2 linked regions of the Oryzias latipes genome follow. The protein of the gene in region 2 purifies or fractionates together with the protein of the main gene of each other region. This does not show direct contact. Links are inferred from orthologs where the notes say so. Each region holds a gene or a part of one and is shown on either strand. Other genes may lie near its edges.

Region 1 (4,426 bases), on a different chromosome or scaffold from region 2:
AAACCTGATGTTTCTGAGTCGTTACAGATGTTTCACCTGTGATCTCACCTTCTTCACGGCTCCTTGGCCGATCAGCTTCAGCTGCCGGACGTCTGCACGCACCTGGGCACACTGCAGCCAGGCTGCGCAGCTCTTCATGCTGGAGATTTTAAAGTGTCCTGGTCTGCAGGCGGTCTGAGGGTAACCGGCCTGCTCGGCCGCGCCCTGCAGGGAGTCCACATACAGGTAAATCACCCCAGTGCTGACGAGCAAGGCAGCAAGGCAGGTCATGAGTCCAGCCAGACTAAGGGAGGTTCTGCTGCGCTGGCCCGACAGACGGCCCGGCATCCTCTGCAGACACAAAAACAAAAGTAAGTGGAAACCAGAGAACGGAGGCTTAATTCTGACCAATGATTGGCTGCTGTCATCTATTACTCTACTCTTGGAAGGGATTACTGCTCAGCAGACTCTGCTCTCTTACTGAGGTTCTTGTGAACACGTGCACGTGATGTCTCTCTGCAGATGTGATGGCAACACGTGGAAGCTCCGCCCCCTCGGGGCTGCAGCTCCCAGCAGAAGAGGTCACTGCTTTAGAGGAACAACAGCAGTCAGCAGACAGAAAGATTAGGTCCGGCATTCGTAGTGGTCCAACACGAACACATCAGAACCACCAGAACCAGCCTCAACCTGCTGACTCAAACACCCACAAGAATGCTGAGGGTTTCTATCAGAACCATTGAGAGCTGTTCTGCGGGTGAAGCGGACCGTGCAGCTGATCCAGGACCAGATGTGACCTGCAGAAGCAGACTGCATCATTCTACCGCAGTGGCGGTCGGCAGCGAGTCTGCGTCTGCGCAGATGACAGAGGGGTGGATGGATGGATGGATGGATGGCTCCCTGCGGCTCCGCGGAACGACACGCGCTTTCACCGCACAACATCGACGGACATAAATACGCCGTCGCCAGGTAACGCAGTGACGTCACTCACCGCCATGTCAACAGTCTCCTCCCGCTCTTCTCCTCTTCAGTGTGCTCGCACTCCCGATCCAACGTGAGTTTTTCTCCTGGGTCTCTCATGATCCGGAAAGCTCCACGTACGCGCGTGTTTCTGGCATATCTGCCCCCCTCGGCGCGCGCGCTCACGAGCAGCTTCTTTTCTGCTATGGCGCTGGACGCGCGCGGGTTTCTTCGAGGCTGCAGCGCCCCCTGCTGGGCTGGTGGTAGAAGAAAGGCTTCATCCAATGAGCGATATAACTCATTGGCTTCATCCACCTGCACCACCCGGACCAGGGGCAGCCTGTGCCCTGCTTTTAGTCTGAAGGCAGAACATCAGGAACCTCTGGGACATCAAAGAACCTCAGTGTCCACGAGAAATGATAACGTTTACAACAGTTGTGGCAAAGGTGTAAAATCAACAAATGAGAGTCGGAACAGACGGAACAGAAAACATAGCAATGCTAAAGGGTCAATAAGAGAATTCACAGTAGGCCAAGTAAATGCATAATATAAGATAAAAAGGGGATATAACCTATAGACATGACAAGAAGCAGTTACAAATTAGGGATTATCCATAAACTGTAAATGACACATGAAATTTATAGCAGTTTTCTTTTCCATGATGGTAACAAATGAAAAAAGATGGTTTGGTATTAAGGAAACATTTGTGTATGTCCACAAAAACGGCCACTCCACGGTTTGTTCCGGTAGAAACAACATAAAACACGAGTGGAGAAACCATCAAATATGATGAAGAGCTTCGGCGTTTCCTCAGATGGACTGTGACTGTTGTTCATGCAGGAGCTCAAAAAGCTCCACAGATGGTGTTCTCCTCGTTTGCTCTCTTGTGATACAGAGACGGTTTGATTTGACTAAGAACATGAAGAATTTGTTTTTTCCTGCTCTTTGCTGAAACATTGTGATGAAGCTGCGATCCTTCAGTTCATCTCTGCGTTTCCTGGACAACGGCTGCAGTTGTGAGGACGTCTCCTCTATAAAACACGTTTCACCTCCAGAGCAGATGTGGTTTATTCAGCTGTTGTGTAAAGACTGCATGTCATGTGAGGTTTCTCAACCACATTTCTGACTTCTCATCTCAGAGGAGTTGGGAGAGTTAAAATGGTCATGCGAGGTCAGCGATTTGGTTATCAGCTTCCTCGCACACCAACATTGCTAGATAAAGAGGAAGCAGGTGACTTACGCTGCTGTGAGCTGATTGGTTTAGAGGGAACCTTTGGTGATGAAGCAATGACTCAACCAGAAAAACCCAGATGACAATGTGAAAAAAGTATACATTTTTATATCCCTTTCACATGTGTAGATATTTTACAAAACCTTCTCTTTTGCCTGTAGATTTGATTTTCTGTGTTGCTGCCAAATAAACACAAGTCTCTTTATTGTTTTTTCCCTTTTGAGTCGCTATGTTCTTAACCCCCTTGACACCTATTGATGCATATTTCTGCTCCAAAATTACCTTAGTTTAGCATCTACTTGAAAGCATAAACATGTGGTAAAACATCTGGAAAAAAATTCAGGGTTAGGGGCTTAAGCGAAGAGGACATTTCTCTTGCAGAACTGGGACCTCTTTGAAGTCAGTTTTCAAATCCATCTATTCTTTATTTTAACACTATTGCTACTTTTTTTTTGTTTTTCGGTGAAAGAAACGAGTAACGAAACATTCCCCAAAACATAGTAACAGTTCATTTCAGTGTGAATTTTGATTTTTGACAAATCACACTGTAACATTTATGAGAATTAAACTTCACATTCCCAATTTATAGATAAAGAGGTGCATTGTGGACATAGGCTGATTTATTTATTTACTTTACTCATTTAAAATGTCTGAAAATGTCATGGTCTACAATGAAACAAAGATATATGAAAATACAAAATTTTAACATTTTCCTGGATCATATACATTTTCAAAACAGTTGTCATGAATCATTCCAGATTAGAGTCCTTTATCCAATCCAATTATTCAGAACTCGTGCTTTAAATTAAATTTGGATTTAAACATTGAAATCGGTCATGCTTACTAAAGACTACATTTTTAGGTTGTTTTTCTGGTTACAAAAAAAAGCAGAAAATAAGAGGAAAACTGTCAACAAACAGCAAATAAGATGAAAACTGTCAGTTAACTAAATTTCCACAGAAAGTTTCAGACGTTTTGCATGTGAGTGGGTTCCGATCCGACTGAGTGTATTGTATTTTTTTTATTTATTACAGATAATCGAACCATTGTAACTGTGAAATGCTAACGATGCTAGCTAGCACTAGCTGCCGCAGCGGAAGCTGCTTTTATTCTGAAAACAGGAAGTGCTGGCGTCACTGCTGTTTTCAACAGACCGACGTCACAGGCAGAGTGGACGTGTGCGCAGACAGGTATCAGTTTGAACGTGCCTGTGGGACGTTGGTCCTCGAACTGGTTTACAAAGAGGCGCGAGCTCTTGTTCGTTTCCGGTTGCACGGTTCTGTTTAATTATCTGTCAAGAAATCGCGGAAACGACAAACCGAGGAGCTAAACGCTAGCTAACCTTGGGGAGCTACGTCACACAACAGCTCCGCATCCTGATCCTCTCCTCCTCTTCCTCCTCAGGTACGGCTCAGGTGTGTTGCAGCGCGGGTACCGCTTTCTTTTCCCGGGTTATCCCTGCTGATCGTATTTGTTCCGGTCCGGTTTGTTGTGTGTTCTGTGGTGTGGTGGTTGGTTCGGCTCCGGCTCGGTCCCCCCTCCCACTCCCACCCCCCACAGCGATGAGTCACCGAGAAGCGGATCGTGAGAACCGCTCTGCCTTCGGTCCCCATCGATCCTCACTGAGCCTCGCTGTCAGCCTTTCGGGTCCCCGGGGATCGGAAGGTCTGTGGCTGCGGACGACTTCCGGTCATAAACGAAGTTGAACTCCCTGCTGCTGCAGATGTAAACCTACTGTCTGCTGCAGATGTGGACCTGCTGCAGATGTAAACCTACTGTCTGCTGCAGATGTGGCCCTGCTGCAGGAGAAGTATATCCAAAACACAGGAGAAGAGCGTTTGGACTCTCCAGAGATCAGGTTTCGCTGCAGGCAGAACCTCTGAGCTTCTACAGTTTCTTCTCATTCAAGTTCTTCAACAATGAAACAGTCTCTGGAATAAAAAGACCACCTAAGACCATTCTGACACCAAAAAAGACCACAAGAGGAGCAGGACTGGCGGGTCGAGCATTTTGGGTCTGAGACTCCGAGCCTCAAAGGCCTTGAATGAATTATTGACCTCTCACCCTCAGAGGGGGAGCAGAACCCTCCCGCATCACGCTGTGCACAAGCTTCATCCTGTTAAAATGCTCCCAGTTTTCCTTCCTCCCAGATCCTCCTGGAGTTCAGGTAGGTAGGTCCTACCTAGGTAGGTCAGGTGAGACCAGCAGCAGCGTTTCAGGTCCTCAAGTCATGTTCTGCCGAGCTTCAGGCTCCAGGAG
Region 2 (4,512 bases):
ATGTAGAGCAAATGTGAATTTAGAAACAATGTGAACATTTCTGTATGACAGCTTCATTTTTCTGTTGGTGCTTTAACTTCTTTTATTCACTCAGAACCAGACATACTACTCAACATTTTTAAATAGAGTTCCAGAGACATGAAAAAGGGTTTTAAGTCACATTAAAGTACAAAAGATTGCAATGATTTTTCTGAATGGCTTCTAGTGAAACTCAAATGTCACAGACTCAATTTATACTCAGTTCATTTGTCAAAAAAGAGGAAAGTCTTTGAGAAACATAGAAACCAAGTACAGAAACACTGTAAAGCTTTTTTGAGTAATGCTCAATGGTCTTAAAAATTCAATGAAAATGCATATAGCCTATTGATTAAAATGGATGCGATTTCACACTTATATTTTTGATCCTCAGACAACTATAAACACAAATTTGCATAAGTTCTGACAGAATTTTCCAAAACTCGTGTAAGATTGGGCTTTTGTTAGATTTTACTAAGATTCCTTTACGGTTTTCTAAAAAAACATTATTGCAGACCCAGTGTATGAGACAGGTAGAGTGCACATTTCTCACACTCTGCATGAGTCTTTAAATAGAATACACACATTAGGGTGTAACAGCCAACACCACACTGAAAAAACCCAAGAGACCAGTTAAAGCAACACAAGTGCTGTAACCATTCCTGTTATAATCTCACTTCTTTGACAGATACTTGAAAATGACCAATACTAACCCAGAGATGAGGCAAACACCACCCCAAAGCCAACAGCCAGCGGCCCTCCCATGTTGAGGAACTTCTCACTGGGGGCACACATGGCCACAGTAGACAGTCCTCCCACAATACCAGCTGTATACCAGGCAGCCCTCATCATCAGAGGCCCTCCAAGGAGGGTCAGTGGAGCAATGACAGCGCCCATCACACCTGAGGATGAACACACCACACGTCAATCCAATATCTAAAGTCCGTGTTTGAGCGCCCTCTGGTGTTTCTGCTGTGGAACTACATGACTGATTTGATATTACCGGTACATATTTGACACATAGCACAAATACAACTAACTACATTAACCTTTTACTGTAAGACATTAAACAATGTGACATGGTAAAAGTTGTGCAGCAATAAACTATATTTCTTTCTAACTTCAGGATGATGAAATGAACAGAAATGTCACGGAGCACTGAAAGGTTCTTTTTTTGTTTTAAGTGTTCTGCTCAGTCCTTTGGCTTCAAATGGTTTCAAGAGTGAAGTGGGAAAGGGGCTGAGTGGGAAAAATGGAATTCTATCCTCACCTGCATGGAGCATCCAAGCAAGATGTTTGGGCATTGGGCTGTGCTCATATGAAATGGACCTAACCAACATTCCCGCACCAATCATTGCAGCAAAAGTTGCTCCAATTGCCTGGTAAAAGATAAAGGAATAATCAAAATCACTTAAAATACTTTTTATTTAAAAGAAAATGCATTGTTTTCAAGTAGCAAAACTTACAAGCCATGATCCTTTCATCATTAGACCCATTAGTGCTGGTGTCCTGCTCACAGCAACTGCTGACAGAGCCGTTAGTCCAACGCTGCCTGCAAAGTACATGTAGGTGGAGTGGATTCTGTCCTTCACGTACTGAGGCCAGATCCTACACAAAGATAAAATGTCCATTTAGATGGTTTTTTCTACCATAGTTAGCTAGTGAGTACAAAACTGTAAAGGTAACAAGGAAAAATATACTAACATAGATTTCTCAAGGGCACCAATTTCATTGGACATGCCCAGTCCATAATAGCACAGAGCTCCAAGACCTACTGCTGCACCTCCTGCAAGAATGATCCTTCCCATGCTGTCAACTTGAAAAAAAAAATAATAATAAAATAAAAAAGAAATATACACAATCAGTGAATTATTATTCAACACCAAAATGTTATTTTTAATCATTCCTGACTGGAATAACAACAAAAACATGTTTACTTTTGATGGCTGTATCTGTTGCTGGCTCAAAAGCTGCTTCTTTAATTTGATCCTTTGCAGTTTTCACACGGCGGAACCCAAACCTAGCCCGTGAGGAAAAACCCTGTGAAAATAAATGAAACAATAACATGACTAAATTCAATTTAATAAATTGTAAAAAACAAAAAAAAACCATAATAATAATAAAGCATATTTTCTGATATGAAATTCTTTAGCAATTTGCTTTTACATTACAGACATCTCAGTTTTAACTTGTATCTTGATTACTTCAGAATTGTTACGTGTTTTCTTTTTTGTTTGCTTTATTTCTGTTTTATGTACTACCCTTTGATATTGACTATTCATGTGGAACATAATAATGGTCTAAATAAAAGTTTGAATAAACAAATTCCCCGTTTTTAAACTGATTTATGTATCACAGAAAATTAAACAAAACAAAAGACTATGATATTAGCAAACATATTCGCCTCCTTCAAGGCTTTTCCGTACCTGCTGCGGCATGAGAAGGGGCGGGCAGGCCTTCCATGTGGGTGCCCTCAAGGATGAAGAGCTTTGGGTCAGCACAGGACGGAGCCCGACGAGCGGGAGACTCTTTAAGCAAGTCAGCCTAGCCACCAACATGTTTGTCTCTTTTTTGAATTTAAGCTAGCTTGGTCTGAAAGACAAGCGAAATTTTGATTTCAAACGCAAACAGTGGCTCCACTTAGCCCACAATAAACAACATTCGGGTGAAAAAATTAACATATCAAACATGATTTCCCTCATAAAATAAAATAAAAGCATGATGAATAACTATAACTAGTTTTCAGGTACAGAAAGGCAACGACGTAAGTGCGTCAAGGAATTAGCAACGTCTACCAACGACTTAGAGAGCCATTACTTAGAGCCATTACTCATACATAGTAACTGAATTAACACGAAACTGTCATTAGTAAAACAAACATAGCAAAGTTTACCAGGTGTATAAACAGCACTTACAACGAAACCCTTTTCCTTCACCTTCCTAGTCCGAAATGCGCAAGTTTCTGACGCAACTGTTTTGCAAGCAACCTTACCCTTCGTGAAAATTCTCGATTGTTACGTCATCTGCATGCGACGTGTTTGGTGGGAAATGTAGTTCAGAATTTATTTCTCTTTTGTAATCAATTCAAAAAGCCACACATAAAGTTTTAGTTATCTTATTATTTAAATATTTTTGAAGGTAGAAACAAATAATAAAAATAATACTGGATTTTGAATTATTTCATGTAGAAGAAAAATGATTACGATATTAATACAAAATACGCTTTTTGATGATACTATTGTAAAGATATTTTTTTGTTTTAAAGAAAAAGACACTTTTTTATTATCTTAAAATAATCTATTATTGTTGTGTTCCGTCATATTTATTCTCATGTGCACGTGATGCCTTTGTCCACTAGGTGGAGTACTAGTCCTCTTTTCAAAAGTTGTATCAAAGTCCCCTGAAATCTAAAATCGAGGTTAAAATCAACACTTTCCTTGGTTTTAAGATCTAGAACCAAACTTGGATTTACTGTCGTGTTATGTACAGTATGTTAAATGATCTAAAATGCATATTACATCAGCAGACTCTGTCAGTCTCTGGACTCTGTCATCGTACCTCCCGCTTCAGGCTCCGCTCCTCTGCACCAAAGTTTCTCGTGAGAGTCACTGAGCTGTTGAAAAGACTTGTCATTCATTTGGCCGCCGTCCTAATCTGCAGCTAACTCAATATGCTTCTACTTGTCCCACATGTATCATTTATTAAAACTTGTCTTGCGACTTGTGCTGTATCCGTTCGTTTTTCTTTTTTTTTTCGTCACGCGCAAGTGAGTAAACGGAGAAGTAATGGAAGTCGTCTCTTTCTGGAGTTGTACTGTGAGAAGAGGCTGAACAAGTGAAGCGCGACTCGGAGTACAGACCTGCAGCTCATCATAATGGTTGGTAATAAATAGAAACAAAGATGTTCAACGTGCACAGTTTATCATTGAGCGCTATAGCATTAGACCAACATTGATTGACACGTGGTTGATGCGTAAATTTATATAAATGAAAGTTGTTGGAATAGTACACGTGTAACTGTTATTATAGGTAATACATAAAAACATGCCAGCATGGTGGTTTAATTTGAACCCCTTCAGATAACTAATCATCTGGTTTAAAAGTTTACATTTCTCTGCATTTATTTCGTTTTGGCATTGACGTGCATGTTTTTGTTAGGATAAAAAAACCCACTCTGTTGACGTATTGTAATGTTCTATAGTACATTTGGTATCTGAACGCTACATTCCTCTGTTTTGCGCGTTGACCCCTGGGAGACGGAAGCTGTTTCTCTACATGTAAACCTTGTCTTGTCTTTTTTAACATTTTTTTTGTGTAGCCTTAAAAAGAGATCTTTAAATGTCTATGTGTCTATACTAGAAGTCAAAATGTCTTTACAATTACCAGTAGTTGTTAAAAGAAGGTTATCTTAGGTAGTTTTAAAACTAATTACACTAGTAAATCAAGTGAAAAACTTTTAGTGTAAAAAAAGTTATGTAATTAATTTCCCATTTGCATT

What was found.
Region 1: the proteins of ghitm (region 2) and pomk purify together in Homo sapiens (affinity purification with mass spectrometry; 3 studies listed by BioGRID and IntAct, counting the BioPlex papers as one, with this or other methods). This does not show direct contact. The link is inferred for Oryzias latipes from reciprocal best matches to the Homo sapiens genes GHITM and POMK.

What each region holds. Positions count from the first base shown.
Region 1 is NC_019870.2:26,977,441-26,981,866, forward strand, and holds the start of pomk (protein O-mannose kinase), read right to left. Parts: upstream 2,821-4,426; 5' UTR 974-2,820; coding exon of another isoform or gene 968-973; 5' UTR 617-967; coding exon 461-616; exon of another isoform or gene 331-460; coding exon 49-330; intron 1-48. Other genes in the region: pam (peptidyl-glycine alpha-amidating monooxygenase), read left to right, coding at 3,227-3,357, 3,572-3,582. UniProt on the Homo sapiens protein: Protein O-mannose kinase that specifically mediates phosphorylation at the 6-position of an O-mannose of the trisaccharide (N-acetylgalactosamine (GalNAc)-beta-1,3-N-acetylglucosamine (GlcNAc)-beta-1,4-mannose) to generate phosphorylated O-mannosyl trisaccharide (N-acetylgalactosamine-beta-1,3-N-acetylglucosamine-beta-1,4-(phosphate-6-)mannose).
Region 2 is NC_019877.2:11,294,817-11,299,328, reverse strand, and holds the start of ghitm (growth hormone-inducible transmembrane protein), read right to left. Parts: upstream 3,062-4,512; 5' UTR 2,931-3,061; intron 2,608-2,930; 5' UTR 2,574-2,607; coding exon 2,442-2,573; intron 2,056-2,441; coding exon 1,953-2,055; intron 1,832-1,952; coding exon 1,720-1,831; intron 1,624-1,719; coding exon 1,482-1,623; intron 1,395-1,481; coding exon 1,286-1,394; intron 918-1,285; coding exon 729-917; intron 1-728. UniProt on the Homo sapiens protein: Plays an important role in maintenance of mitochondrial morphology and in mediating either calcium or potassium/proton antiport. Mediates proton-dependent calcium efflux from mitochondrion.